4 linked regions of the Lepisosteus oculatus genome follow. The protein of the gene in region 2 purifies or fractionates together with the protein of the main gene of each other region. This does not show direct contact. Links are inferred from orthologs where the notes say so. Each region holds a gene or a part of one and is shown on either strand. Other genes may lie near its edges.

What was found.
Region 1: the proteins of ncbp3 (region 2) and alyref purify together in Homo sapiens (affinity purification with mass spectrometry; 4 studies listed by BioGRID and IntAct, with this or other methods). This does not show direct contact. The link is inferred for Lepisosteus oculatus from reciprocal best matches to the Homo sapiens genes NCBP3 and ALYREF.
Region 3: the proteins of ncbp3 (region 2) and thoc1 purify together in Homo sapiens (co-immunoprecipitation; 4 studies listed by BioGRID and IntAct, with this or other methods). This does not show direct contact. The link is inferred for Lepisosteus oculatus from reciprocal best matches to the Homo sapiens genes NCBP3 and THOC1.
Region 4: the proteins of ncbp3 (region 2) and thoc6 purify together in Homo sapiens (co-immunoprecipitation; 3 studies listed by BioGRID and IntAct, with this or other methods). This does not show direct contact. The link is inferred for Lepisosteus oculatus from reciprocal best matches to the Homo sapiens genes NCBP3 and THOC6.

The regions. Positions count from the first base shown.
Region 1 is NC_090704.1:47,020,013-47,027,501, forward strand, and holds the start of alyref (THO complex subunit 4), read left to right. Parts: upstream 1-4,482; 5' UTR 4,483-4,607; coding exon 4,608-4,859; intron 4,860-6,555; coding exon 6,556-6,696; intron 6,697-7,302; coding exon 7,303-7,450; intron 7,451-7,489. Other genes in the region: anapc11 (anaphase-promoting complex subunit 11), read right to left, coding at 394-539, 726-846. UniProt on the Homo sapiens protein: Functions as an mRNA export adapter; component of the transcription/export (TREX) complex which is thought to couple mRNA transcription, processing and nuclear export, and specifically associates with spliced mRNA and not with unspliced pre-mRNA.
Region 2 is NC_090721.1:10,765,900-10,773,373, forward strand, and holds the start of ncbp3 (nuclear cap-binding protein subunit 3), read right to left. Parts: upstream 3,017-7,474; 5' UTR 2,970-3,016; coding exon 2,787-2,969; intron 2,205-2,786; coding exon 2,139-2,204; intron 1,375-2,138; coding exon 1,269-1,374; intron 1-1,268. UniProt on the Homo sapiens protein: Associates with NCBP1/CBP80 to form an alternative cap-binding complex (CBC) which plays a key role in mRNA export. NCBP3 serves as adapter protein linking the capped RNAs (m7GpppG-capped RNA) to NCBP1/CBP80.
Region 3 is NC_090701.1:57,196,638-57,203,735, reverse strand, and holds the start of thoc1 (THO complex subunit 1), read right to left. Parts: upstream 3,018-7,098; 5' UTR 2,949-3,017; coding exon 2,901-2,948; intron 2,324-2,900; coding exon 2,250-2,323; intron 2,092-2,249; coding exon 2,031-2,091; intron 1,372-2,030; coding exon 1,302-1,371; intron 465-1,301; coding exon 346-464; intron 1-345. UniProt on the Homo sapiens protein: Component of the THO subcomplex of the TREX complex which is thought to couple mRNA transcription, processing and nuclear export, and which specifically associates with spliced mRNA and not with unspliced pre-mRNA.
Region 4 is NC_090699.1:5,871,380-5,878,661, reverse strand, and holds the start of thoc6 (THO complex subunit 6 homolog), read right to left. Parts: upstream 3,001-7,282; 5' UTR 2,857-3,000; coding exon 2,842-2,856; intron 723-2,841; coding exon 631-722; intron 1-630. Other genes in the region: srrm2 (serine/arginine repetitive matrix protein 2), read right to left, coding at 5,018-5,066, 5,604-5,714, 7,169-7,282. UniProt on the Homo sapiens protein: Component of the THO subcomplex of the TREX complex which is thought to couple mRNA transcription, processing and nuclear export, and which specifically associates with spliced mRNA and not with unspliced pre-mRNA.

The sequences.
Region 1 (7,489 bases), on a different chromosome or scaffold from region 2:
TGCACTGTTTATTGTAATGCTGCAGAGCCTGCCGCCCAGGGCTCAACAGATGTTCCAGGAGAGCAGGCGACGAATAAAAAAATACACAATGCTAAACATTAAAAAAAAAACATATCACAAAATATACAAGTGTTTTTTTTCCCCCTCAGTGAAACCAGGACATTGCCTGGGACCAGTCACAGTGGAGTCTCCCTCTCTGCCCTCTGCTGCAGGACGCCTCTGGCTGAACTGCCCCACCCTCCTGCACAGAGGTCAGCAACACGGGGAGGCTTTCTTCCAGGTCTGGGCCTTCTTGGCAGGCGGGTAAACTACACAGTTAACAGTCACTCGAGCAAGCAAAGAGCACGCCGGGCAGACGTCCTGTCGCGGCCGGGACCGCCCGGCAGCCCCTCCTCACTCCTTGAACTTCCACTCCTGGCGGCACATGGGGCACTGCTGCTGCACCTGCTGGGAGTTCAGCCACTTGAGGATGCAGTGCATGTGGAAGCAGTGGGAGCACTGGCCCCACACCAGAGGGCAGTCGTCTCCGGGCACCTTGCCTGGGAACAGACGGAGACGGTCGTGAGCAGAGCGCCCCCTGCTGCTCAGGCTCAAGCACACTTCCCTGCGCTTGACGCGAACGCGGGACGTGGGCCCACAATCCACTGCTCCACAGTCCTGGCCATCCCCCTCCCCTTACAGAGCCTTGAATTCGCACACCCCCCCTCCCCGCCGGCCGGACTCACAGTCAGGGCAGCAGCCGTTGAAGGACATCCTGCAGATGCCACAGTTCTCGTCATTGGCGACCCACAGCCAGGAGGCGACGCCATTCCACTGCTTTATCTTCACCTTCAGCCCCCGCTCCATGGCGCTCTCTGCAGGACACAAGGCACCACTACAGCTGGGTGGGCACTACAGCTCAACAGCTGTCCTGCTGCAGAAGCAGATGGCTCCACAGGCTGCTGCACTGTGCAGGTTAGCTGGGCTGCTCTGCTCCCTCACACAGCAGAGCTTTAAAGAGCTGCACTACTACAAATTGCACTGCCCATGAACCAGAAAGGCAAGATCACATTAATTTTGTGCCAATCTATCCCTGGAAGATCCAGAGACGAGAGCCTGCAGCTCCTAACACCTGTAGTGGATCTGCAGGCTGTGCAGTGAAAGTCTCCGGTTTCCCTGCTGCTTCAGTGCAGGTGGGGCAGCCGACTGTAAAGCTCCATCCACAGGTCTCGCTTGTGAGCTCAAATCTCAGCACATGCTAACGACTAGCACCTCACCAGAAGGATAGGAACGACGCTGTGACAAAGGCTAAACAGCACAAAATAAAGCTTACCCAGTTAATCTAATTAGACAGCACGTACTGTAGCTAGGATATATGTGACCTGGCACAGGAAGGGATTTTAAAGCTGAGTTTACAATGATAGACTTTAAAGCATTTCCTCTGCAGCCTACGCCTGTAGAAAGTATATTAAATTCAGCATCGGCTTGTGAACGGGACATACTGTGAATACGCCTCACTCTTCACCCCTTCATCAGAAACCGCGGCGTTAAATCTGCCCTGCGGACACAATAACGAAACACTAACATTAATGACTAATTAACAGACGTTACTCTAAACGTCTGACCGATGTTGTTGTCACGTGTCTCAAGAAATGGCCGTTTGGCTTCTGTCAAAGTGAGATCGAGCTCAGTTGCAGAAGCTGCCCGGAGAACCGAAGCGGGACCTGGCTCCGGCCCTGAGCTCCTTTCCGACCTCGGGGGCGACGGAGCCCCTCAGCCCGCTCTCCTAGTGCAGAAGCGCCGTCCACTTCTGTCCCTGCGAACGGATGAACTGGTCGGGGCGACACATTATTATTTAGACCGCTCCGTCTGCTACACAGTGTATCTTAACTGTCCAATAACACAAGAAACTTCACTGTTCAGACTTGACTATGTTACGCACATCATCTCAGGCAAAAGCGTCCGCTAGGCAGCTATATCAAATGAGAGAATAGTTAAAAACTGAACACCGCACAGTACCTGCACGACTCCCGTAACCCCTCTCAATTGATCAGGCCTGAACAGACCGCAACTCTTTCCGTTGATCCTCAACTCTGCGATCGTCTAACGCGACTTTGACCACATTTAAAAAGCTTGTCGTCGGAATACCGCCGCCTGGAGGCCTGGCGTGACGTTTACAGTGAAACACGAGACAGCGGCAGGAGTGGAAGCTAATTTGAAGTCCAATTGGAAGTAAAACAGAGACCAGCAGCCACTGCTAGTAGAGTAGTAGTAGTGGAGGAGTTTATATTCGTGGTGGTCATTCAGGACATACACAGTACAACAGACAACACCACCTACCTAGATGTACACCTACCACACAATGCAGGCAGTACATCACACACATAATAAATAATAACAACAGGAACAATAAATATGTTATGGAGAACAATAAATATGTAGTAGTGGAAAAAAACATGGTAGACCATGCAGAAAGTGCAGATAAGTGCATTGAGTCTGAGGCCCTGCAGTGAGCTGCTGTTGAGGATGCACACTGCAGTGGGATAGAAGCTGTTCCTGAGTCTAGTGGTCCTTGCTTTAGCAGCGGCACCGCTGGCCAGAGCGCAGGGGCCGGGATGGGTGGGATCCTGGATGAGGGATTGGGCTTCACTGTGACAGCAGACGGTGTGAATCCCACCGATTGATGGTCAGTCACATCCTGTGATACCCTGTGCCGTTGCCACAAGCCTCTGTAGTGGGTCTCTGTGATGCGCAGACTTCTCCCACCTCCTCTTCTTTCCTGAAGGGATGGTGGGAGTGTGGAACACGCTGATGCCCTGGTTTCTTAAAAAAAACAAACTGGATCAATTAACTACCAGACGCACTAGATGGGCTCCTCCACAGCTTGTTACTGTTCTTACAGTCTAACTGGCCTTTGTGCCCTTTTGTAGCGACATACACACAACACATCACAACACAGGACGCCACATCACCACACACAACACACACACAATACATCACAACACACACAACACACCGCATCACCACACATCACAACACAGGAACACACATCACAACACAGGACACCACATCACCACACACACAACACACACAATACAAGACACCGTATCACCACACATCACAACACAGGACAACACACACAACACAGAGCAACACTCGACAACATATCACAACACAGGACAACACATCACCACACATCATAACACATCTCAACACAGGACAACACATCGCCACACATCACAACACATCACAACACAGGTCAACAGGCGAACAAGACACAGAGAGAAGATACAGCTCTTGGGATCACACCACAGAGCACAGATTACAAAACAAATCCTTATCATGTGAAACAGCGACATGTATGAAATACTGAGCTTTTGTTGGACATTTGAAAAGAGATAGAATTGAGTAAATATAATAACTTATTTTAAAGAGTCCTAATTGATGTTTTTGAGTAAACATAAGTCCGTTATGATGCCCGTGCTCAAAGTGAGGACGAAGCAGGCTGAGTTTTCCACTGTGGAGTCTCAATATTGTATTTTCTGAACTGCGGAGGAATGTGGCAGGCAGCAGCAGGAGTGTGCTGTGTGCCCCAGCAGAGTGATCTGCAGCTTGTTGCTCTCTGGACTAGAGAGCATTCTGCCTAGAGCAGATACTGATGGGCGCCAGGGGGACCGAGACGCTCTGACGAAATATTCCACATCTCCTAAGCATGAATAGGGTCAAACGCCTCTCAGTCACTTAATTGTGTCAATGTACTGAGTTTGATGGCTGTGTTTGGAGTAATTGCCATGTCTGTGTTCTTTTAACTTCATTTGCTGCTTGCGGATTATTCCAGTGTACCTTATTATTGTATCCTCCACTGCAGCAGTCCTGTCTCTGTCAGCCTCCCTCACTCTCAGCCCTCTCTCGCACTAATAATAATAATAATAATTAATAATATAGTGCTTTTCTGGACACTCCACTCAAAGCACTTAAGAGGTAATGGGGACTCCCCTCCACCAGCACCAGTGTGCAGCCCCACCTGGATGATGCGACGGCAGCCATAGTGCTCCAGAACGCTCACCACACACCAGCTCTCAGTGGGGAGGAGAACAGTGTAATGAGGCCAATTCACAGATGGGGATTATTAGGGGGCCATGATTGGTAAGGGCCAATGGGAAATTTGGCCAGGACGCCGGGGTTACACCCCTACTCTTTTCAAGAAATGCCCTTGGATTTTTAATGACCACAGAGAGTCAGGACCTCGGTTTTACATCTCGTCCAAAGTATGTGTTGTATTGCATTGCAACCACCTGTGAACACTGCTAATATTGTCTTGTTTTTTTTAAATATGTCCGTTATGGACTGGAGCGCTGCCGGTCTCTAACAGGGAATACAGCACATACAGTACAGACTCCGAAAACTACAGCTCCCAGCAGGCTAAGCCATTCCACTGAGTGCGCAGGCGTCAACCCCGCCCTGCATGACGTCTGTGTCCGACGCCAGCCGCAGCGTCTTAAAAGGCGGCCATTGTGTTTTCTCCTCACCACTTCGTGCTCGGGTATCAGCGGGGGCGAGTTGCAGAGTAGGGATAGTGCGTGCGAGTTCGTTTGTCTCTATTGATAGGCTTAGTTCGGCGACTCGAAATGGTCGATAAGATGGATATGTCCTTGGACGACATCATCAAACAGAACCGGCAGCAGCGGGGCGGTGGCGGGGCCCGTGGCGGCAGGGGAGGCCGGGGCCGGGGAGCGCCCGGCGGGGGCCGAGGCGCCGGGGCCGGCCGGCTCGGTGGCGGAGGCGGCGGCGGCGGCTTTGGGGGTCGCGGCGGAGCAGGCCCCGTGCGGACCCGACAGAGCCTGAGCAGAGGCAGAAGCAGACCCACGCCGTACAGCAGGGTAGGAGAAAAGAAAGAGATGGGGAGAGAGAAAGAGGAAAAATGGAAAAGCGTGGCGCCCGAAAATGCCCGGGTCTGCGGAGCTTGTGCGTTTAATATCCTAACGTGCTAATAGAGCTGTTACTCACTGGAGTGTCTCTGGAGAAACAAAAATGGCTATATTTATTGCTAGATGTCCAATTTACCCGATTCACTTTCCTTTTTAAGGAAGAAAATAATTAAAATGCCTAATGTTTTCCTTTCTCCCCCAACCTCTTTAACCTTTCGTGTTTAACCTAGTTGAAAAGCGGGCGTTATCAGGAGACATGTTTGGTTTTTTTTTTTCGGGCTGCTATGCCGCCCGGGAGCGGAGAGCTCAAGTCTAAATTTGTTCGAGTGTCTAGAAAGAGCAAAACGCCATTTTTAACGGCCACGAAGACGCGGTGCAGCCGCCGGCGAGGACGGGAGGCCGGCGGCGGCGGAGGAGGGAGCGGAGCGCTGCGGAATGAATGAGCCGGCTTTGTGTGCGCCCGGCCGGGCTGTCCGGCCAGGAGGCGGCCCCCCGGAGCTCCGGGCTCCAGCCCCCCGCCGAGCAGCGCTGGCAGAGGCGGGGGAGGCTGTGGAAGGACACTGATCGGCCGGAGTTAGCCGCCGACTACACTGCGGTGGCCGTGCACCCGCAAGGGGTCTCCGCTTAGCTGATCAAGACAAAATGGCGCAGCTACAAAATGGACGCTCTCTGCAGGCAGGGCTCCGAGGCCTCGGACCGCAGCTGCAGCTGCCCTGCGGCGACTCTTCCACACGGGGACTCTGTTCCACTAGAGAGCCGCCTTTCTGCAGAAACACGATCGCGGGGGATCCACGGACTTGATCCTGCGGCGGGGCGGCGGACTCTCCGGGCCTCAGGACCGCAGGCGGAGGACAGGCTCGGCGAGGGGGGTGGAGAGGCGCCGCTGCACGGATTGGCCCCCTTTTCAACACCTGCGGCTGGAGTCTGAGGGACCCTCGGCCGGGGCGGCGGCGGGCTGGGACCTGCCCCCGGCGGGCGGGTTACCGGGACACTCGGTTTCAGAGGCGGGAGGTCGGATTGGCAAGGGGGCAGTGAAGGGGTAGGACCCGGCGCTGAGCCGACGGCGAGCACCTCCGGTGTGCTGGTGCCTTTTCCGGCCTTGTTCCCTTTTAAAGCTGTGATCAGTGCGCACCTGCACTGTAACCTTCCCGTTTCTCCAGGGTAGCGCAGTTTCAGCCATTGCTCCTGAGTCTAGTGTAGCTGCCTCGTTAGGTTTTAAACAGCATTGAATGCATTTCTTGAGCAGAATGTTCATTTTACCCACAAGGCTCTGTTGGGGGGGGTTATGTGGCTTCTCTTTTGGGGGGTGCACCTAGTGTTTGACCTTTGGGGGGGGTTCACAGTGATACTTTTATTTGGATCAGCTCCCGGAGGCAAGTTGTCTGCGGCCAGCTGGTGCTCCTGTCTGGTCTTGGGGGCTTTCCTGGTGGGGCAGGCGGAACCAGCCCAGATTGCTGCCTGACCGGGCTCCCCTCCTGGTGTGGGCCACGGTGGTGCGACTGGGTTCCTCTGGCTGCTGTTCCTCTCGGGAGCCGGCGTTAGCTGTGGGGTGTCTGCTGGCCTTCCTCTCGGAGAGCGGGGTCCTGGCGGCCTGGCGCAGCGTGCCGACTGGGAAGTCAGCAGGTGCGTTCTGTTTGCTCTCTTGCAGCCCAAGCAGCTCCCGGACAAGTGGCAGCACGACCTGTTCGACAGTGGCTTCGGCGCGGGCGGCGGCGGCGCCGGCGTGGAGACCGGAGGCAAGCTCCTCGTCTCCAACCTGGACTTCGGGGTCTCGGATGCAGATATCCAGGTGAGTGCTGACTCTGCGCGGGGGTGTCCTGGTTTGGACTGCGTGTAGCTCGCGTAGTGGCTGCATGTGGCTCTGGGATAACTGCAGTTCCTAAACTGGGTCTCGCCTCTCATTCAGGAGAAACACAGCACTGTAGCCCTTTCACTCAACAGCTCCGAGGCAGGGGTGTGCAGTCCTGGTCCTGGAGGGTTTGTTCAGAGCCCCCCAACCTCAAGGGGTCACAGAAGTTACACTGGTCCTATTGTGCCAGTGATTGAACTGTGCTGGGTTCATAACCTGCAGTTGCTGAGGTGACCCTTTTCCAAGGTGAAGCACATTTCCATGAGGGGGGGGTCCAGGCTCTCACCCGCAGGCTTCGGTGTGATTTCCAGAGGCAGGTGTTCCTGTTGCAGTGAGAGTGCTAGCATACAGATTAAGACACCTGCTCCTAGCCTTTTGGTTTGCTTTTGAGAAGCTAGATCGGTGCCTTTTCCTGTGTCTATCATTAGCCTACAGCTGTTGTGCCCATGGGGTAGCAGGGTGGAGTTGAGCCTGCGCGCCTCTCGTGTGGTGGGTGGGTTGGGCTTGTTGGCGAGCGCACAGACCTGATGGTGCCCTGTGTTCCAGGAGCTGTTCGCGGAGTTTGGCACGCTGAAGAAGGCTGCGGTGCATTATGACCGGTCGGGTCGCAGCCTGGGCACGGCGGACGTGCACTTCGAGAGGAAGGCCGATGCGCTCAAGGCCATGAAGCAGTATAATGGCGTTCCACTGGATGGTGAGTCTGTCCCCTGTTGTCCTCATTTTGGAATTAGGA
Region 2 (7,474 bases):
GTCATTGAAACATCTCAGCAGACGGTTGTAATTCTCTGCCTGAAGGCTGAAGACCCTCAACTCACTAGGCTTTTTACTGCTGGCCACTCTCTGCAGTGCCTTCTTGTCTGCGTCTCTCATGAATTGTTAAAATTCTTTCTGCGACGCTTAAGGTTTCACGCAGCACTGGTCCCTTAGCTCAATCCAGGCTACCGCATCCTTAAGGCTCCACATGCAGGAATATCCCAAGGGTGGATTTAAAAAAAACTTTTGGTGGCAGCTCTTTTAGGTTGTGGGCTCCCCGTTTATGCCGTTCCCCTCCTGCGTGTATCAAACTGTCTTCCCATCATTCTTTTGTCTGAGCAGAGACTACAATCTCTGCCTTTGTGAAACGCATCCAGTGCCGGATTTCCCATCAGGCTCTGTAGGCACAGTGCCCAGGGCCTAGGAAGGAGGGAAACACTAGTGACTAACAAAAACCGAGCTGAAACAACGTGCTTGCGATCGACTCCAGATGCTCCAAATCAATAATCATGCGCTCTCTAGCAACTGCTCTAGAAACTAGAAGTATGGAAGTGATGGGCGCTCGGCTTGCTTCATCAATCAGGTGGTTTAGCACTAGAACAGTTTAAAGTGCATCGTGTCAACTGGCGTTCAACCCTCTTTTTGCACATTTCAGAGTGAAAGTGCCCAGGGCCTACGGACACCACAATCCGGCACTGAATGCATCAGTCAGTTCTTTCCTAAGGGTGCTGTCGTTTCAGTTACTAGAACTTCTGCTCCTCGTAGTGGGCTTCTACACAAACTGTACCCTATTGGTTAACCCTGCTTTCTTCATCTACATACTTTCACACTGTTACCCTTTTAAAAGAAAGAAGGAACGGTGGGCTTTATTTACACGAATGGGGAGGACTGTATTTCTAAGGCAGCAGCTAAGCCGGTGAAGCGGTGCAGTGGCTCTGTGGCTCAGGATCTGCGCCTGTGGCTGGAAGGTTGCCGGTTCAAATCTCGCGACCGGCAGAGGAATCCTACTCGGATGGGCCCCTGCGCAAGGTCCTTAACCCTTGCTGCTCCAGGGGCGCTGTATAAATGGCTGACCCTGCGCTCTGACCCCAAGCTTCTCTCCCTGTCTGTGTGTCTTATGGAGAGCAAGCTGGGGTATGTGAAGACAAATTCCTGATACAAGCAATTGTATATGACCAATGAAGTGATCTGATCTGATCTAAACTGTGAGCAGTAACACACTAGCGCGCTGCAGCCAGCACACAGAGCCCAGCTGAAGGACTCACCCTTCCTCATCCTGTCCCGGTCCAGCACCACGTTCCTCTGGGCCAGGTTGACCTCGGCGCGGAAGTGGAACCGCCGGGCCCGCTGTTCCTTCTTCTCTACGGCCTCCTGCGAGAGATTGGAACACCATGTTACGCAATCCCTGCGCCACAGCCGCAGCCAGGAGGGGAGGGGCGGGACACGTCTGGGCTCAAGGACTCTGAACCACGAGCGGACCAAGCGCTCTGGACAGGGAGGGAGCCCATTCAGACTCGGGGCTACAGGACTGATTAATTAATAATAATAATAATTGCTTACACTTATATAGCGCTTTTCTGGACACTCCACTCAAAGAGCTTTACAGGTAATGGGGATCCCCTCCACCTCCACCAGTGTGCAGCCCCACCTGGATGATGCACCAGTCCTCTCCCCACACACCAGCTCTCAATGGGGAGGAGAGCAGAGTGATGAAACCAGTTCAGAGAGGGGGATTATTAGGAGGCCATGATGGGTAAAGCCCAGGGGGAAATTTGGCCAGGACACTGGGGTTAACCAGGATGTTGACTGTTTCATTAATACTTGGAGCTCTGAGACGTAAGACCAGGGACCAGCGATGTCTTCTAACTGCTTCAACCAGTTCAGGGGAGCTGGAGTCTATCCCAGCAAGGCTTAAGGCAGGATACGCCCTGGACAGGACTCCAGTCCATCGCAGGGCAATCACACACACACACTCTATCCGAGGTAACTCATACAAACTCCACATAGACCGCACCCCGGGTCGGGGACGGATCCCAGGGCCCCAGCGCTGCGAGGCAGTAATACTGACCACAGCGCCGCCAGACCAGGGAGCAGGAAACAGACGCAGGGCACGGAAAGAGCAAGGATGCCCGTACCTTTGAGGTGACATCGATTCCCGTGATAAAGGTCCCAGCTTTGTTCTCGTAGCGCCGGCTGGTGTCCTGTTGAGAAACGTCAGCCCTGAGTTCAACACGACAAAACCCAACCCGACCCTCCAAAAGGCAGTTTACAAAACAGGAAAGGCGGGATGGAGCTTTTCGACAGTACGATAAAGGGGAATAAGCAATGTAAAGTTCAATATTTTGAAATAGACCCAACCCACTCCGACGCAACCCCTAGTCATAAAGGTAAGGTACCAGCACCTCATCGCTCTGAGACACCGATTATAAACACATTTGGGAAAAAGATTCCATCCCGTGGCCATTTCTGGAAAGGCTGTGCTTCAGACTCGATCTGCTCCTAAAGCTTCAAGTACTCTGACAAAACTGAAACTACACGATAATCCCTGAGCCCAGTTAAAAGGACCTGATCTCATTAACACTCCTATTTACAAAACATTCGAGACACCAATACCACAATTTTAACTGCTCCTTTCACAGAAAAAAAGCAAAACCAGCAGGACAACATTGTCATTAAGCAGTTGTTACCACCGATTCTTGGAACGTTGTAACCCCCCTGGTCAGCCACGCCAGCCCGGCCTTGCTCTCTACTGGGGACCGAGGTCGTGGCGCGGCCTTACTTACCGGTAACAGCTCCTTCAGTGACCGGCGGACCGGAATGGACTCCAGTTCCAGTTCACCTTCTTCTACCTCCATTGGCTCCGGTTCGCGGGAATCCCGGTCCGAGTCGGATTCAGAATCTGACTCTGAGCGATCGGACCCAGCTTCTGACTTCACCGAGACCTGCAAGCTTCGGACGGCCGCCATCTTCCCTTCGCCTCAGCCCAAACAGAGCGGCCGCACCAACGACAGCGGGAAGGGGGAGAGAGCGGCACCTTCGGCACAGCGCGTCGCCGCAGCGACACTGCCACCCAGCGGCGGCGCCGGGGACTGGCGGCAGCACGGCGGAGCCCTCGACCCATTTACAAACTGCGAACCGGGAAACTGAAGGAGTGTAGTTTAGTGGTACGAACAGAAAGAATACTCTTAATACAAGATTTAACAACAGTGACAGGGCACATATATGAATTCCAATCCTAGAATGAATGATTACGCCTTTAAGTAACTGAGCCAACAGCAATCTGAACAGTGACTCACAAAGCGCCGGCCGTCTGTTCTAACTGTAACTCGCCATCTTCATTTCTGTGATGTGTTGTCTTTATGAAATTCGTGTATTTTAAGCGTTTAATTAAGAAGTAAAAACCGTACGGCGTACACAAAGATTCTGGCTGATCACGAGGAAGCAAAATCACCCGTTTTTCGCGCATAAAAAGTGGTTATTAACTATCGAAACCTGTTTTTATAGGTTTTAAAGTAGTGCAATGTTAAGGAACGCATCATTATATCTAATTTTTTATTTATTTTCTAAAAATTTAAAAAATCGTTTGCCCAGCCTGGATTATATTGCTTTTCTTTCTGTTGTGTGCTTGAACGCCAGAAGGAGTCCAGGCGGCGTAACTTAATTTTCTGCCTATCTCTTTCCGCTGGGCTTTTATAATTTTAACTCTAGTTAGCTTTCTCTTTGTTTCCCAAATTCCCCACATTCAGAATCCGAAGGAAAACCAAACTCCCACAAACGGGCAGACTAGAAGCGGCCTGGCGCAGTGTCCAGTGTCCGGTGTCCAGTGTCCAGTGTCCGGTGTCCAGTGTCCGGCGTCGCGCCAGCACGAGGTGTCAAGTCGAGGGGTGAAGGGGCGCGTGTCTCGGGCCACAGAGCAGTGTGCTCGCGCGACGGCAGCGGTGCTGTGTGGTGGTCCCCCGCGTGACTCGGGCCCTGGTTCGCGAGTGTGCGTGGATGGGGCTCGGACAGGGATGTCGAGGCGAGCAGAGCGTGAACTCCAGCTCCGGCTGGAAGGGAGCCGGCAACATCCCTTCCTGGGGTAAAAGCCTTCCGCAGCCCACGCCACGCGTGAACGCGAGGAAGGTCTCCCCTTTTTGTCCGGACTGTAGGTCAAGGCGGACCGCGACGGTACCGGTCCGCCCTGAGCGTCACAGTCACAGCCGGCGTTTCGTTTCAGAAAAGCCTCTGCGCTCCCGAGCGCGTCCACAAGGTGGCGCCGCTCGCCCACGTGTGTTTTCTCACGTTCCTCGAATTCGGCGTCTCCCTGTAGGTTTTCATTGTGTCCCGTGAGAGTAACCCGCGGGACAGTCGTGCTGTCGCCGTGTGAAGGGGCCTGATTTTGGCGTTTGTGGAGAACCTTTCAGCAACATGATACAGACAGCAGGGCCCTGATCATGTTCCTCATTTTTCATTCTGGAGGCATTTCAGCACCAGGACTGGACAGCCTGCTCCAGGTTTTCACTACCCGGTTTGCGCTTCACTCCAGATGGTGGAGAATCCCTCCCTCTGGACCTCAGGGGAGAGTGGGGATGGAATTGGGAAACAGGCCACCTCCTGCTCAGGCAATTCAGCTGTTCACAGAGGCTCAGTCTGCAATACACAGACAGCAGCCGTATCACCCTGCCACTCCCAACTGGCAAACCCACTGGAGCTCAGCAGGTGTGAGCCTGGCCAGTACCTGGACGGGAGACCTCCTGGGAAAAACTGAGGTTGCTGCTGGAAGAGGTGTTAGTGGGGCCAGCAGGGGGCACTCACCCTGCGGTCCATGTGGGTCCTAATGCCCCAGTATAGTGACGGGGACACTGTACTGTAAACAGGCGCCGTTCTTCGGAGGAGATGTAAAACTGAGGTCCTGACTCTCTGTGGTCATTTAAAATCCCAGGGTGTCTCTCAAAAAAGACTAGAGGTGTAACCCTGGTGTCCTGGCCAAAATTCCCCCTGGCCCTTACCAATCATGGCCTCCTAATAATCCCCATCTCTGAACTGGCTTCATCACTCTGCTCTCCTCCCCACTGAGAGCTGGTGTGTGGGGAGAGGACTGGCGCACTATGGCTGCTATGGGCGGTGGGGAGGAGGCTCAGGTTGTGATCATCATTTAGCGCTGCTGACAGGCAGTGAAAGCGCTGGACTTCTAAAGGGTGCTCCGCCCGATTTTCCACTCCGTCAGAAGAAACCTGTGCCTCCTGTGACCCAGCGCGTCAGTTTACAGCGTGCTGCCGGAGGGGCAGCTGAGTGACCCCCGTCTCCGGCTGGCCTCCCCCTGCCCACAGCCAGCGGCCCCACCCCCCCTTCCCGAGCTCGTGAATTTCCCAGAAACCCGCCTGCCCTCCAGGCTCACCCCTTGTGCACCCGCCAGCTGGGATCGGGTCTCTGGGAGCTGCTGGGTGTGGATCATGGATACTGGTGTCTGATACCCCAGTGGCACAGCACTCCCCCGGGCCTCTGTGTCACCTGTGGTCACATGTGTAACATGATCAGCTCCAGCCTCCCCAGAAGAAGCATATCACACAGCTCCCCGGCCGTGTGTGCGTGGGCAGCACTGGGGGAGATACTGTGTCCCCTGGCCCCAGTGCCCTATAAGGCTCTTCCTGATTTAATGGCAGCTGGAGAGAGTCCAGCACCCCCTTCCGCAAAGTCTGAGTGACACAGGCACATGTCATGGCTGACAAACCCTGACCTCTGAGGACACCCAGCCCTGCTCTGGTGCTGCCGTGATGGTGAGTGCTGATAACGCCCAGCTCCCTCTCCGGATGTCCTTGTAGAACTAGCAGACACCTCGAGATGCTTCGCCTGTGGTCCAGACTCTTTATTTCTGTAGCCCTATTATCTTGGTTACTGGTGAAGGGTCAAGTGATCCAAATGGAAGGCACTTCAAATGTCTGAAAAGGGGATCCAGCTCAGGCCCCATGAGCCTTAAGTCCCCATGTCAGGACAGGGCAGTAGGATCTCTGGGGACTGAGCTGTGGCATCTGTGGCAAACCAGTTACAGCAACTCAATCTCACGTTAACAAGCTGATGGATCGTCATTCGCTTATCCATACGGTAGAAATCACGTCCGTGAGTTTCCTGTAGGCGTCTCAAAACTGCTCTCAGAGGAGCAACGGCGTCGGTTCAGAGTACTTGCAAGAGCAATTGTGTGAAAATGAACTTTTTAACTTTTTAAACTTTTGAACTTTTTTCTTGTGAATTGACCTTAAAGAGAGCGAGTAGCGTTTAAAGGTTTTATGTGTTACTACTGTTTACAGTATCTGAACTGGGAGGGTCTCCTTGGGCCTTGATTTGAGGTCCAATTCAAGACAGATCAGGTGACATTTATTATGTTTCTCATAATGTACATCCTCATGAATGTTAATATAACTGTAAGAAAATTTACTTATGGAAACAAATTGTTAGAAATGTTGTTCAAAGCTGAGCAAAAAAAAAAAGAAAAGGACCCGTTGGGGAATTGAACTATTAAGTTGTAGACAGTCAAACCTGTATTGCACTTTTTTCACAATTTTCAAAAGACATTTTCTTACATATCCTGTGTTTTAAATATGAAGCTATGTTTTGTGTATCTGTAGTGTCATAGGTTAGCATTTGGCAGCTGTTATTTTTATGCACTGCCTGGCTTGCCTGTAATTGTGCTGTGCTTGCCTGCAGGCTCTGTTCTGACCCAGGTACAGCAGTGAGCGCTGCTCAGCTGCAAGCTCCATAACCAGCAACGCAGGAGTCCCGAGTTCAACATCAGCCCCTACAGCTGGGGGCTTTTTTTTGCAAAGGAAAATAAAACAAAACTTTCAAACAGCGCAGAACTGTCCCAGGAGGCAATTTTGAGGCGGGTCAGAGAACAGAAATTCGGGAGGATGGGTTTGACAAGGGCTCTGTTGCCAGGGAAGGAACAGCGACTCCACACCCCGCGATTCACACAAGTCCAGGGGTCCCCTAGTGCCACAGAGATTGTCCAGGGGTCTCCTAGGGCCCTCAAAGACTGTCCAGGGGTCCTCTAGGGCCTCTGAGAGTGTCCAGGGGTCCCCAAGAGACAACCTCTGTGGCCCTCTGGGACCGCCGGACAGTCTCTGCACAACACTTACAGGCTTTGTTTAACTGGAGGGTCCTCTGGGAGAGACGTCAGACAGTATTGACATGTTTCTGTCAGGTCTCTGGGATATCTTCTTAGCTGTGCTCTCCAGCTCCTCTGTTGTGTCCAGGCAAAGATCTTCTCATCTCAGGGCTTAGTTGCCTCCACCGACTCCAAGCTCCCCTGTCTCGTGAGTTGCATTTCCTGGCTATAAATATCTTATTTGACTCAATATTGCTTTGTCCTCAGAGAGCGCCCAGGGCTGCAAGCTCTGTGTTCAGAGGGGTGGCCTGTAATATACCTCGCAATGCTCCTGAGATAGGAGTGCGCCGTGTTTTCTGAGAATTATGACAGAGCCGATGCTTTTGGGGC
Region 3 (7,098 bases), on a different chromosome or scaffold from region 2:
ATGATATAAGTCAGCAGAAAAAGCCGCTTTAACCCAATATTCAACAGGCGATATTTCTTCCCAATACCCTACAAAAACATGACATTTTAATGCTATATTGACACTCTACTAACTTTAGAATATTACACTCATGGGAGAATGATTTTGATCTCTCAGTATTTACCCCTGTGTAAGCATTACCACGGGCAGCGACTGTGACCTGTTAAGTGTTTCGGCAAACAGATGAATTTTCTCATTTCTGACTTTCCTCATAGAGACAGAAGGTTTCAGAAGCGGAGCAAAGAGTCACCTCTGTGCTTTCAAAATAGCTCGTGCTGTGGACCGCACTTGGCAAGCTGTACTTACGGATTTCCACGTTGAAACATTTTCTTCAACAAAAGTGAAGATTTTATCGCACTGGTCCAGTGGAAGACAGTCCAGTACATCTCCCAGCAGCAGGAAAGGAGTTGTTGCCGAGCAAATACCTTCGATTACAGGGGGGACACAGAAGGCAAGGCTGACACTGAAGCTCATCTGGCACCCCGAGTGTCAGAAGGATCATTTTAAATTCCATCAGTCCAGCCATTTATTAAACGCTTGATCCAAATCAAGATCACAGGGGAGCCAAAGCCTATCCTGGCAAACAACGGGTGCAAGGCAGGGTACACCCTGGATGGGACGCCAGTCCAGCGAAGGGAAGAGACAGACATGCACAGATTCACACCAGGAGCAGTTTTCCCCAAGATGCCAATTACCCTGCCAAGAAGTCTTTGGACTGTGGGAAGAAACCAGAGAAACCCATCCAAACACAGGGAGAACATACAAACTCCACACAGACAGCACCCCAGGTGTGGAATTGAACCCAGGGCCCCAGCGCTGTGAGGCAGCCATGCTGGCCACTGCGGTACTGCGCCATCCTTGTTTTGTCATTTGAAGCTGACAAATTGAACCATCAACCTCAAACCACATGGTACAAGAAGACAAATCACGACAAATGCGACAAATCACACATAACATCAGGCTGAGAATTGAGACCTGTTCTACATCCTCAAAAAATAAATGCTCCCACTTAATCCCAAAATAATGACTAAGAACCAGTTACTGACGTTTGAAATGAATTTACCGGTGTAGGTCAAGAGTAAAGTAAATCTTATCCAGTTACATAATGGCACTTTTACAAAGTCGAGGTAGTACTTTTCTCATCAAATGCAAAGAACAGCCATCAAAACTGTTTACTGATCAAAATGTCCAGTGTCCTGTGAGGCTTTCACCTGCTATTCAGTCTTTAAATGAAACCTGTCATGATCTTCCTAATAACTCACCTTCTGTAACTCCATCAATGCTGAGATAGATAAGAGCCAGGAAGTCTTCACAGCTAGCTTTTCGTTTTATCTGCAAAAGAACGGCAGTTTAATTCCACTGACAAATCCCCAGTTGCTGGAATGACGCTCCCTGCGTGTACCCAGCTTTGTGATGTGGGGACAATGCACCCAAGGTGTGGTAGATGTGGATCATGTATTTCAAGGATCTAAATATGACACTTCTGTAAATATATATCAAAGCTAAGAAAGAGGTGTTATTAAGACCAGTAGGACCCATCCGTGTGGGTCCTAATGCCCCCGTATAGTAATGGGGACACTAAACTGTAAAAAGGCACCGTCCTTCAAATAAGACATAAAACCGAGGTGCTGACTCTCTGTGGGCATTAAAAATCCCAGGGTGTTTCTCAAAAAGAGTAGGGGTGTTACCCCTGTGTCCTGGTCAAATTTTCCCCAGGCCTTTACAAATCATTGCCTCCTAATAATCCCCCTCTCTGAACTGGCTCCATCACTCTGCTCTCCTCCCCACTGAGAGCTGGTGTGTGGGGAGCGGACTGGCGCATCATCCAGGTGGGGCTGCACACTGGTGGGGGTGGAGAGGATTACCCGTAAAGCACTTTGAGTGGAGTGTCCAGAAAAGTTCCATAGGAGTTAAAGGATTTACAGTAATTAAAATGCCATTAAACACAAGCAGAACTTCTGTTGTTTAAGACAATCTTTATGACGACTTACAATTTCTCCCTCGAGAACCCAGCGCAGAGCCTGGTCAAGTGTGGTTTTCTTCTCTGTCTCACTAACAGGTCAAACAGAAGAGGAAGCAATTTATTCATCATGCACTTTAAATACAGGTTTTATGCCAAGCACCGTTTTCACATTGCTGCTGAACACCCTATAGAAAAACCACGACAGCCCCTTAGACGTTCTTGTCAAGCTGTGGGAAAATGCACTTACTTTCCAGGGAGCTGATTAAATGTGTTGATTAAGGGCTTGACAGTTTTGCTGTCCAAGGTACTTCTGATTGTACTCTATTGGAAAAAAAACAACAACAAAGAATAAATTAAAAACACAGGTTCACAAAAGACATTGGCCATATGATCTTAAGTCACTCCACATTTGGATTGCTTTTGAGAGTTTAGTTTAGCACAGCAAAACATAGCACGTGCTATGGTGTTTTAGGAGGATAATCCTTTAAAAGCAAGACCAGAGGCACATGCTCTAGCTTATTTTACGATACAACATACGTCTGGACAGCAATGCTTTGAATGCCTCGCCGGAGACTCTTCAAACACGCCCCACAGTGGTTTCAGTCACCTCCCGAGACGGGAATTTACGCCATAGCCGACAGGACCTTCACAAGCAAAGCTGTTTTCCGCTTGTACTAGCCTGACTTGACCAAGAACGGATAAATTGGCAAATTCCTTTGGTATTTCAATCACGTTCATTTAAACTCTTCACGTACATCCTCCACCGCAGAAGACGAGAGCCGCAGTACGCAACACAAAAGCCTTCCCCTACACACGGGTTGCACGTTAAAATCCCTTTTGTTCTCGTCCCGAGCCACGGTTTCATCAACTCTGCAACTGCACTAACACAGTTTCTTACCGCAAATCTCTCTTTGGCATCATTAAAGTTAAACACGGACGGCGACATCTTCTCGGGAGCCTGCTACAACCCCGCTTCCGTCAGTGAGCAAAACAAACCGGAAACCAGTGACAAAAAAAGGCCATAGAGATCCTCTAACGGATGGCTAGAGTTCCTGTCGTCGGATTTGTACGTAGCTTTGTGGCGCCATCTTGGGAGGGAGGAAGTAAATGTTTCACACTTTCGGTGAGTGTGTGTGCACTGTAATGGAGCCTATGATAACAAAGATAAGAGGAAAGATCAGGAAAACGTCCGTTTATTCATTTATTTCGATTATTATCACCGTAATTGTTTTTAAAAAATGGCGACAAGAGTTTGTTTAATGCACAAAAATGCACTTTAGTTAATTTCAGTGAAATAAACTAAACGAAATGACAAACTGATCTAAACAAATGAAACAGTATGTACTGTACAGACTGCTTTATGTAATATTATTGTAATATACACACGCAATAAACGTAATTCTAAGAATCCTTTGTAACCTACTGGAAGGTACGAGTATTCCAAACATTGCTTAAATAATCATTCGTTGTTTGTCGCGTCTTTCGTCGACGATCTTAAAATCCAGTTGCTGAGGGAGACACCCTACTTTTTTCAAGAAACTGCTGTTTGGATGCCGGATGAGATTCCCACATGACTCTCTACTACCACCCAAACGTGATAAATACATCGAATGGGACACCGTCCTCCAGCTTCTAACCTTCCTCCTGTTTTATATTTTTCATTATATATTTATTTATTATATATATATTTTAGTTTTATATTTTTTATTTTAAAAACTATCACTCTGCACGTCTAGTGTAGGATACTGCGAGGCTACATACAGATGCACGAAAAGTTTTATTTTTGTTGTTGCTGTACTACATTCAATACTGAATATTTGTCATTTATTAACATTTCTGCACGTTGCCAGAAAGCTGAAAAGATTTACTTTTCGGCTATGGATCTTCTTCAAGTGGGTTCACAGCTGAAACGTTGTGTTTCTTCTCTTTTCAGCAGGAATAAACCTTTACTTGTTCCTCTGCAGCCTACGCACGCTAACGATTCCACAGTGTGACTTTTTATCCTCGAACTATTCCACGATTGTGTTCTCCAGTATCCTGTCTAGGACACTACCCACACAAACCTGTGAATGTAGGAGGCAGTGTTTGACCTAGAGGTGGCCTGTAGAGTTGAGAAAATATTTAGCTGAAATATATGATGACAGTTATTTTTAGCTCTTTCTGTTTGTCCATTAAAACCACAAAACCATAAAGTAGACTGACGGCCTTTGAAATTTGCTTTGAAAGCAGCCTGATGACCACCAGTGGCTTAAAAACACCAGTTCTTCTGTGCACCCTTTTATTAAAAGACCTTGAAAAGAAAGTTACCCCTGAGCAGCTAAAGAAATAACGGCAGAGGGTGGAGTGGAGGTTAGCGCCACCATCTTACAGTACCGGGGTCTCAGTTTCAATTCCAGCTGTGTGTATCTGTCTGTGTGGAGCTTGCAAGTCCAAGTGCGATTTCTCTGAATGTGCGTGACACATGGAACACTCTTCTCCTGTGTTTAGCTTGTCTGATAGTTCAACTTTAATAACTTGGGGCGGAGCGGTGGCTCTGTGGCTCAGGATCTCCGCTTGTGGCTGGGAGGTTGCCGGTTCAAATCCTGCAGCCGGCAGAGGAATCCTACTCTGTTGGGCCCCTGAGCAAGGCCCTTCACCCCAGCTGCTCCAGGGGCCCTGTACAATGGCTGACCCTGCACTCTGACCCCCAGCTTCTCTCCCTGTCTGTGTGTCTCATGGAGAGCAAACTGGGGTATGCGAAAAGACAAATTCCTAATGCAAGAAATTGTAAAGGGTTAATAAAGTAATGTAAAAAAAAAAACTGAGGGCACATGGAATGCAAACCTTTTTGTGTTAGAGGGTTGAAGTTGGCCAGTGAGCGAGTCTGCTCTGACCTCCCGTTGAAGAATGTCTGCTATAACAAAAAACAAACAAACGGAGATTGCTACCTTGGGTCTGCATGACACAGAAAACCTGTGTGGGACATTTCATTTTTGTATTCTGGATAGTGATACAGCTGATCAGTACCTTTGATAAATGCCCCAAAAAGGCCGGCTTCAGTTCTGGCACAGTTCTGTCATCTAGTACATGACAAGCACTCCTGGAGCCTGGTGACAATCCAAATCGTTCACTCAAATATGCTTTCATACCAGTTCGTATTCTCCCCAAAAAAACAACAATAAAAAAAATCATGAGATATTTTTCCCTTTTTATTTCAATTCTTTACTTAACCAGATAAATGAAAGGACAAGAAAGTTCTCCATTAAAACAATGACCTTAAAAATTACACATTTACTGGATCACAGAATTCCAAAAAGGATTTGAACCCACAACCCTCTGGTCTTTGTGTCAAAGCCCTAAACACAAGTCCATGCTGCTGCTTCAGTGGTAATATTAAGAGCATCCGAATTCCTATTTGTAGTTTCTTTTCAGGAATGCAACTTGAGTATATTATTTCTGGGACAGGGATGAACAAACTGACTGCTTTGTTTATAGAAAGCAGGCAAAGTGCAAGAAGCAGACTGATGAAGTTCACAGAGTGGTGTATTCCTGAGGTGTACAACGTGTGGCTTAAGCATTGCTTCAGCTGTGCGTAGTCCTCAGTCATCTGTGCCCTCAGATTCTGCATCCTTGTCCCCATAATCTCACACGGGAGGTGTCCCTCACAGAGATGATGATGCTGTTCTAAGTGCTGACCAGCTTCCTCCACAGATCCAGAAGTCTGACCATCGTGTTTACTAGGAAGAAAAGGCACAGCAGTCCACATGTGTCTGATCAGTGCCCGCTCTGAGTAATCCTTGAAGGAGTGGATTCTGTTAGTGGGGCAAAACCTTGTGGGTCACTGTCGGGCAATGGACACAGTGTGGAGGTGGGCATCATCCTGTTACAGTACACGAACTGGGCCATCATTGATATGAAGGGAATGATGAGGTTTGAATGCTGTGCGATTCATGAAAACTGGCTGCCAAGAGGCGTTTACAAATGTAGGATCCTTGTCATGCATCTTTTGTTTTGGGACAGTGAAATGTCCCAAATGTATTATCTGAAATTAACCGAATTTCAATTCAATGATATTGAATATTTAAGTAAAATATACAGTATAGGTTTTTCAGAGAGAAAATCTATTGCTGTTGTATTTTCTATTTGTGTTATATTCATTTTCCACAGTTCCATCAGAAGATCAGCGGTGGTACTATTTGAGCATTGTTGACTACAGTAAACTCGTGTCATTGGTGGTGCTTTTGTAAAGGGAGACCAACCCTTCACAGCTTCTTTCTGGAGTTTTATTCAACAACACCAATACGGTTATTTAAAATGTTCGTTCATACTGTTGAACAAATTAAAGTATTTTTGTTTTAATCCCTATTCCTCCAAATTTATTTTTATCTCGATATGAAGTCACAGTTTTCTTGTTTCTTGTACTTCCCAGGCTGCATATCAATATAGCAAAAAAAAAAACTTTATCCGAGGATTTTATTTTGAAGTACAAAACAGCAAATCTGAAGAGAGTTAAAGAAGTGTTTATTAAGGCACAACTTTGTGCTTTCTGAGATACACAGGAACATGTAAAGCAGTATGGCAAGATTGTGATATCAAAGTAGGATTAGAAAGGTTTAACTGCTACATGACCAGTGTAACACACACATATCACCAGATTCTCAGTGCTCCACTGCTATCATAAACCAGTTAAAAAGGTCTGTTCTAAAATATTTAGAAAGGTATGCTACCCTCAGCCTGCAAGCAGACTTGAAATAACCAAAGTTACAAAGAAAAGATCTAACTGAAGTAATAAGGTTCGCATTGATCTTTTTTTCTTTTTTATCCTGCGCGTTTTAATTCACACTAAAACAATTCTGGTGTTTCGCACCGGCTATATAATAACATCAAATCCACAGTAAACAGATCAGCACGAAAATGCACATTTTGAAGGACAAACATCCCATCTGTTATAAATACCAAACCTTTACTCATCTTTCTACAGTACAATATAAAATAGAAAACGTGGTTACAGTGAGACCTCCAGAGAACATTTAAAAAAACTGTTGTTCCAAATGCAACACTACCGGGACACTATTCATTTTTGTTCTTCGTGAAACATTTATCTGCATAATTAATAA
Region 4 (7,282 bases), on a different chromosome or scaffold from region 2:
GCGAGAGGCGCAGAGACTAGGAGACACAGTGGGAGCAGGTCAGGTTAGTGAGAGGAGCAGAGACTAGGAGACACAGTGGGAGCAGGTCAGGTTAGTGAGAGGCGCAGAGACTAGGAGACACAGTGGGAGCAGGTCAGGTTAGCGAGAGGCGCAGAGACTAGGAGACACAGCAGGAGAGAGAGGGGTTAGCGAGAGAGGAGCAGAGACTAGGAGACACAGTGGGAGCGGGACAGGTTAGTGAGAGGCGCAGAGACTAGGAGACACAGTGGGAGCAGGTCAGGTTAGTGAGAGGCGCAGAGACTAGGAGACACAGTGGGCGCAGGTCAGGTTAGTGAGAGGCGCAGAGACTAGGAGACAGTGGGAGCAGGTCAGGTATTGAGAGGCGCAGAGACTAGGAGACACAGCGGGAGTGGGTCAGGTTAGCGAGAGAGGAACAGAGACTAGGAGACACAGCGGGAGCGAGAGGGGTTTGTGAGAGAGGAGCAGAGACTAGGAGACACAGTGGGAGCGAGAGGGGTTTGTGAGAGAGGAGCAGAGACTAGGAGACACAGTGGGAGCAGGTCAGGTTAGTGAGAGGAGCAGAGACTAGGAGACAGCGGGAGCAGAGGGCACCGCAGTTCCCTGTCTCACCTGAAGATGGCGATCTCGCCGTAGTTGTTTCCAGCCGCGAGGAACCGACTGCAAGGCGAGAAGCTCTGAGAGAAGACGGACATGTGCAGGAGCTGCAACACAACAACACAACCCTGGGTCACAGCACAGCACAATGACAGTGTAACACAACACAGCAACACAGCCCTGTGTCACAACACTGCTCAAAAACACAGTGTGACACAACACAGCACAATGACAGTGTAACACAACACAGCAACACAGCCCTGTGTCACAACACTGCTCAAAAACACAGTGTGATGCAACACAGCACAATGACAGTGTAACACAACACAGCAACACAGCCCTCTGTCACAACACTGCTCAAAAACACCCCTGTGTAACAGCACCATTACAATGTAACTCGGCACATCAACACAACCCTGTATCACAACACAGCTGAAAGACACAGTGTGATCCAACAGAACCCTGTATCACAACACAGCTGAAAGACACGGTGTGACGCAACACAACAACACAACCCTGTGTCACAGCACAGCACAATGACAGTGTAACTCAACACATCAACACAACCCTGTGTCACAACAATGCACAATGACACAGTATAACACCAAAACATCACACAACATTGTGACAATATAATAAAGATAAGAATAATCTGCTTCGAGAAGGCCCTGTCATCTGCAGACTGTGGGAACAGACAGTGAGCCCCTCTCAATAACAGACAAGCTTGAGGACAGGAGACCAGAGTTAGACGAGCAAATGGTCTGGTTGTGAGGTGGCGAGCAGGAAAATAAGTCGGACAGCTACTGAGGTGCCAAGCCATGCAGAGCCTCAAAGGTGAGCATGGGGATTTTGAGATGGACACGAAACCCGATAGGAAGCCAGTGCAGGGACTCCAGGACAGGAGTAATGGGATCACTTGCACTAGACCTGGACAGGATCTGGCCTGTCGAATTCTGAACAGACTGGAGTCTGTTCAGTGTGGGTTTAGATACCCCAGCAAGGAAGGCGTTGCAGTGATCAATTTGAAAGAAACATAAAAAAAAGTCCTGGCCAAGTTTTCAGCAACAGTTATCAGGAACATTGGACCGTAGCCTGGCAATACTTGGTGGAAGAATGAGATTTGTTTTACAATATGTTGCACGTGTGGGTCAAACGCCAAGCCTGGATCAAATATCACCACCACGTTCTCCGGTTTAGACTGAAATTCCAGCGCACAAATTCAAGGGCCTTCCTGCAGTTAGGGTCACTGCACTGGCTGCACAGTACACTGTTGAAGGGAGGTGCAGAGAAGCATGACTACAGGTCTGTCACTGTTTCAATTAAGAAAATCCAGGATGTTATGTCAGAGATGCAATTAGACAGTACAGAGACAGTCACTTCAGTGCCAGGTTTATCATGGATACAGATTTATGCATCATCGGCGTACCAGTGATTGTTTACACCGTGTGATCTCAATAGCTGACCAAGTGGGAACAGGTAAATGCTGAAGAGGAGGGGACCCAGTATCGAGCCCTGAGGAACACCAGACTTCACAAACCCAAATTCAAGACTGAAACCAGCAAAAGAGGTAGTGTAATAGGGGAGTTTGACTTCAGCAGTCTGTTTGACCTTAGCAGTAAAAGTCAGTAAGAGCCCAGGCTGGAGTGAAGACCAGGAGACACAGTGTTCCTCCTGGATCAGGACTGAAATAAAGTCAGGAAGAGCACAGGAGTGCTCTGGTCTAATCTGACTATTAACGTTGTGGACCACAGTAAGAAAAGAGGAAAGAGAAGGGCGCTACACCGTGGACACGTTCAGAGGGGAGCTGCCACACTGTGGGTTATAAAACACGGGACACTCTCCCGTGGGGTTTGTCACGACCCTAGAAGTCGACCACCCTCCATCAACGGGGCTGTGTGTTGGTGTTTTGGGGAGAGGCTGTGGATTTATGTCCGGAGACACGGGTGGAAAACAGAAACTCGGATAAAACACGGCACCTCCAGCTCGGAGCCCCCGGCTGCTGTCGCGCCGTTACTTCTGAACACAAAGGCTCAGACAGTAACCCCTGTTTGTGTAAAAGCCCCAGAGACCGGATTACATACTGGAAATATTTTTTTCTAGAACTGAAAATGTCCTGTGCTACATCCCCCGGGGCTTTTACACAAAGGCACCCCCGAAATCCTGCGACACACGCAACGTGAGAGCGCGCTTCATACACACAGAGACACGAAAAGGACGGGCCATCACCTCGACCGGTCCCATGTTTCCTCTTGTTTTAGACGCGGCGTCCAATCTGGCGAGAAAAGTGAAACTTGCACACAAGCCAGACTCGTCAGCCCCAGGTCTGCACAGCCCAACACTCTCCCTCTCGGAAAGGGACACGGGCGGCGCAGGGCAGTGACGTCACAGGACCCCCCCCCCCGCTTTCGTGGCATGACGGGAATTGTAGTTTCACGGCTTTGAAACGCGACCGTTGTTCCCTTTCCGCTAACAAAAAAAAACACGCATGCATGCACAGGATAAGAAACTACTCTCCCTGTAGCTGCAAGAGATTGGCACAACCCTTGTTGCGGTTGGCGCAGTCACATTTTTTGAACAGACAGGATATAGGTGCATGAATTCATTTTGTTTATATAACGATATAGATGTGATCTGGTGATGTATCTTTATTTGACATTTTCCATGATACAGGATCTCCAAGATTCGTAATGCTGAGGTGATGAATCTGTAATGATCAATTGACACAAATGTTTTTGGTTATTGTCTGTCAATTTCAATACTTTTTTTTACACAAAGGGGGGTGGGAGAGTGGAAAAAGCTACCCAGTTATATTGTTGAAGCCAATATCCTGGCTTCTCTCGAGACATAGTTCAGATCCTGGGATTAATAAACTACAAAATGTTCTCCTCTCTATCTCTTTAGTTGCTGTTGTTTTTAAAAACATACATCCATTAACATAACTGATTCGTATGCTCTGTAGATATACATACTGTACAAACCCATTTGTGCTTCTGAACCACTGAATCTAAACCACCGGACCAGCTGTCCTCCCGGTGTAACAAGACTGGACCAGAACCACCGGACCAGCTGTCCTCCCACTGTAACAAGACTGGACCAGAACCACCGGACCAGCTGTCCTTCTGGTCTAACAAGACTGGACCAGAACCACTGGACCAGCTGTCCTCCTGGTCTAAAAAGACTGGACCTGAACCACTGGACCAGCTGTCCTCCTGGTCTAAAAAGACTGGACCTGAACCACTGGACCAGCTGTCCTCCTGGTGTAACAAGACTGGACCAGAACCACTGGACTAGCTGTCCTCCCACTGTAAAAAGACGGGTCCAAAACCGGACCAGCTGTCCTTCCACTGTAACAAGACTGGACCTGAACCACTGGACCAGCTGTCCTCCTGGACTAGAAGACTGGACCTGAACCACCGGACCAGCGGTCCTTCCACTGTAACAAGACTGGACCAGAACCACCGGACCAGCTGTCCTCCTGGTGTAACAGGACTGGACCAGAACCACCGGACCAGCTGTCCTCCTGGTGTAACAGGACTGGACCAGAACCACCGGACCAGCTGTCCTCCTGGTGTAACAAGACTGAAAACACACACACGCCAGAAACAGAAAACTCCAAAGAACTGCCGGATTTTTTTTTCTTTTTTGATTTTATTATTTCACAAAAAAAACAGCTTTTAAAGAATGTTTTGTATTCACAAACAGTGTCATCTTGCCCTGCGCCCCCCCTCCCCCCCAAAAATAATTCACAGATCAAGACCCAGTACGGCGTGGGCACGCACATCCGAAGCCCGCGTCAACGCCGCCTGCACACCGCGCTCTCTCCACCTTCCCCAGAACAAACAAAACGAAAAGGGAACCATTTCCGTCCTCCAAAAACAGCACAAAAGTCACAATCGGATATCGGCCTCTCCTCCTGGTGGGTCTCTCTCTCTCTCGCTCTTCTCTTCCTTTCGTCGTCTTTCCCAAACTCCAGTGTCAGCATCTCAGTCCTCCATCTTGGAACAGTGTCCTTGTACCACTCCCCTCGCCTCCCCCCCCCCCCGAGCAACCCAGAGTGGGACGGCCCACGAGCATCTTGCAGACTAGGTCCTGGGCTGTACCACCACAGAGTTGGGGGGGGCGGGGGGGAGTTGGGAGAGGGAGTCCGGGTGTCGACACCTGCGAACAAGAAAGAAAAGGCTCTGGTCAAACCCGACAGGCCAGTCTCCCGCGCTGTCCTCCCCCCTCCTCCCCCGCTCATCTCACGGCTCGGTGAGAAGACGTGGGGACGGTGCGCCCCCTTTCCGATCGGAACGGCCCTCCTGCCAGGGGTACGACTGGCGAGAACCGGGGAAAAAAACGCTTTCCGAGTGGGACTCCGCCTGGCCAACCACAGGAATTGCTTACCTTCCCGCCCGGCACCTTATTTCCTGCGTTTCTTGCTGGGTGACCGGCTGTCTGACCTCTGACCCCTGCGGGCAGACAGGAGAGAGAGAGAGAGAGAGAGAGAGAGAGAGAGAGAGAGAGAGAGAGAGAGAGAGTCAGGGTTCATCCTGCAGACGCACACACAACAGGACAGCCCTGGCTGACAAGCACACGCTGGGGCCCGGACTCTGTCCCGCCAAGCCCGGGCTGCTTCTGTGCCTCCCCCCGGCATGACGGGAGAAGATCCGCTTGTCCAGGCGGCTGCCCCTCACACCGAGCGAGGGGTACGCTCTCCCCTACCTCCACCCCCAGCGCTAAAGGAAAGGTGCAGCTGCGGGGTTTACGGGGGCCTACGATACCACCCCCCCCTCCCCCCAGGCCAGGGGCCACAAAGGCACGCTTCTCCCACCCTGCCGGAACGGAGCGACCCCAGACGTGTCCGAGTCACCACATCCGACTGATCCGGACGCACGCAGAAACAGCCCATCGCCAGGAGGCCCCGAGCGGGCCCGGCCACAGTCCAGCGCCGGCGAGAGCGTGTTTGTGTCCCCCCCGAGGGCCCCCTGCGGGACCGGGTCGCTCACCTGTGAGGGGGGGGTGAGGACGGCGCCGGCCTGCGCTGTCGGAGCGGCGGGGAGTAGCTGGGAGAGCGGGAGTCCCGCAGGGAATCGGCCGGCTCCCTGGGCCGGGGAGGACTGGGGGAGAGAGGGAGAGAACCACCGTGAACAAATCCATATCGCGATAATTTCCCACAGTTACCCCGATAACGATAAATGGAACGAGCATTTTTCCTGAAACCCTTGAAATACGATATGATATGCTGGAAGACCCCATTTTAAATATGCGAAACTATGAAACTTAGTAAACGTCAGGCACCACAGTTTGAGAAAAATGTGTTCTCGAGGGCACAACGCATCTCTACGCATCGGGGGCTTGAACGAGTCTTTCAAACCACTGCAGCTATGGGAAGCATGTCCTTCGCTGTGCAGTGTGTAATGGCGTTCGTTATCGCGTCACGCCTGCGTGAATCTTTCGCGCATCGAGTGGCATGAGTAAACGCTCGTGTTAAGAGAGGAATCCCTTCGGCCATGAGTGCGCTTGACAGTCTCTCTCGTTTTTTGGCCATGCGCCGTATTCGTATCCCACGACATGGCTGCGTTTAAAGCGATGAAACCAGTTGCTCGTGTTACTTGTGGGCGCAGAAACGGTTCTCCCGACAAGAGCTCACATCCGACTTCTCTCTGTTCGGCATCCGGTTCGCTGAAGCCAACACACGACCTAACGATCGACACTGCATCTGTCTGAGCTACCAGCTCGTCTTCCTTCGTGCTCGAGTCCTCCCTGCCCGACGGGGGTTCAGCACGAGCGCTCCCGTCGTCTCACGCCCGGCTCGCTGCTTTGGGTTTTGAATGAAGAACGCGGGTTGGACAAGGCAGAAGCCTGTGACTGGATCTGACGACTGGGGACCGCTGATGAAAACCGCACAGTGGGGAAAGCTTTCATCCCGACATAAGCAAAATAAGGTCGGCGAGAGATTCTTAACATCGGTATCGATACGTTTTCGATATGTATTGCCCAGCCCTAGTGCCAGGCCAGCGAGAAGACGGCGGAGCTGGTCTGAGGGCACTCGGACGCTCTCTCTCCAAATGATACCGGCAGGAAACCCCCTCTTTTAACAGGCGTCGGATTGCACGGACAAAAACCCACTGAAGAGGGATTCTGTCTGAAAAACCCAACACCGGACTCTCCCCTCAGTAAGGAAGGAAAGCACAGACAATAAAAAGCAGAAAGAACTACTACACGGGACTCCAAAAATCAAGAATATCAATTGATCAAAATCAAGATATCAATATCGGGGCAGTACAAGGTCAACTGCTTACGATGGGTGGAGTATGTGCTTTGGATGTTGAAGAAAATTTTATACGGATATTAACGATACACGCAATAAAGAGCCTGTATATTTCAATAAACCGCCACAGGAACAAAGTTTCGCTCGCCGTGTGTTGATTGCAAGTATTTTTTGTCATAATTCAAAAGATGCAAAAAATGATATAGAGCACACATTTTCTCAAATGACAGTGCTCCTGGGCAGAAACACTACTGGTTCGACACTGGCAGTAACAGACACCCCCCTGCTCCTGCTCATTACCACTTCGCAGAGTCTGCAGCGGGAGAGTCCTCGCTCCCGGAGGAGGATGAGTCGGAGGAGGAGGAGGAGGAGTCGGAGGAGGAAGAGGAGGAGCCCGAGGCCTTCCCTGCCTTC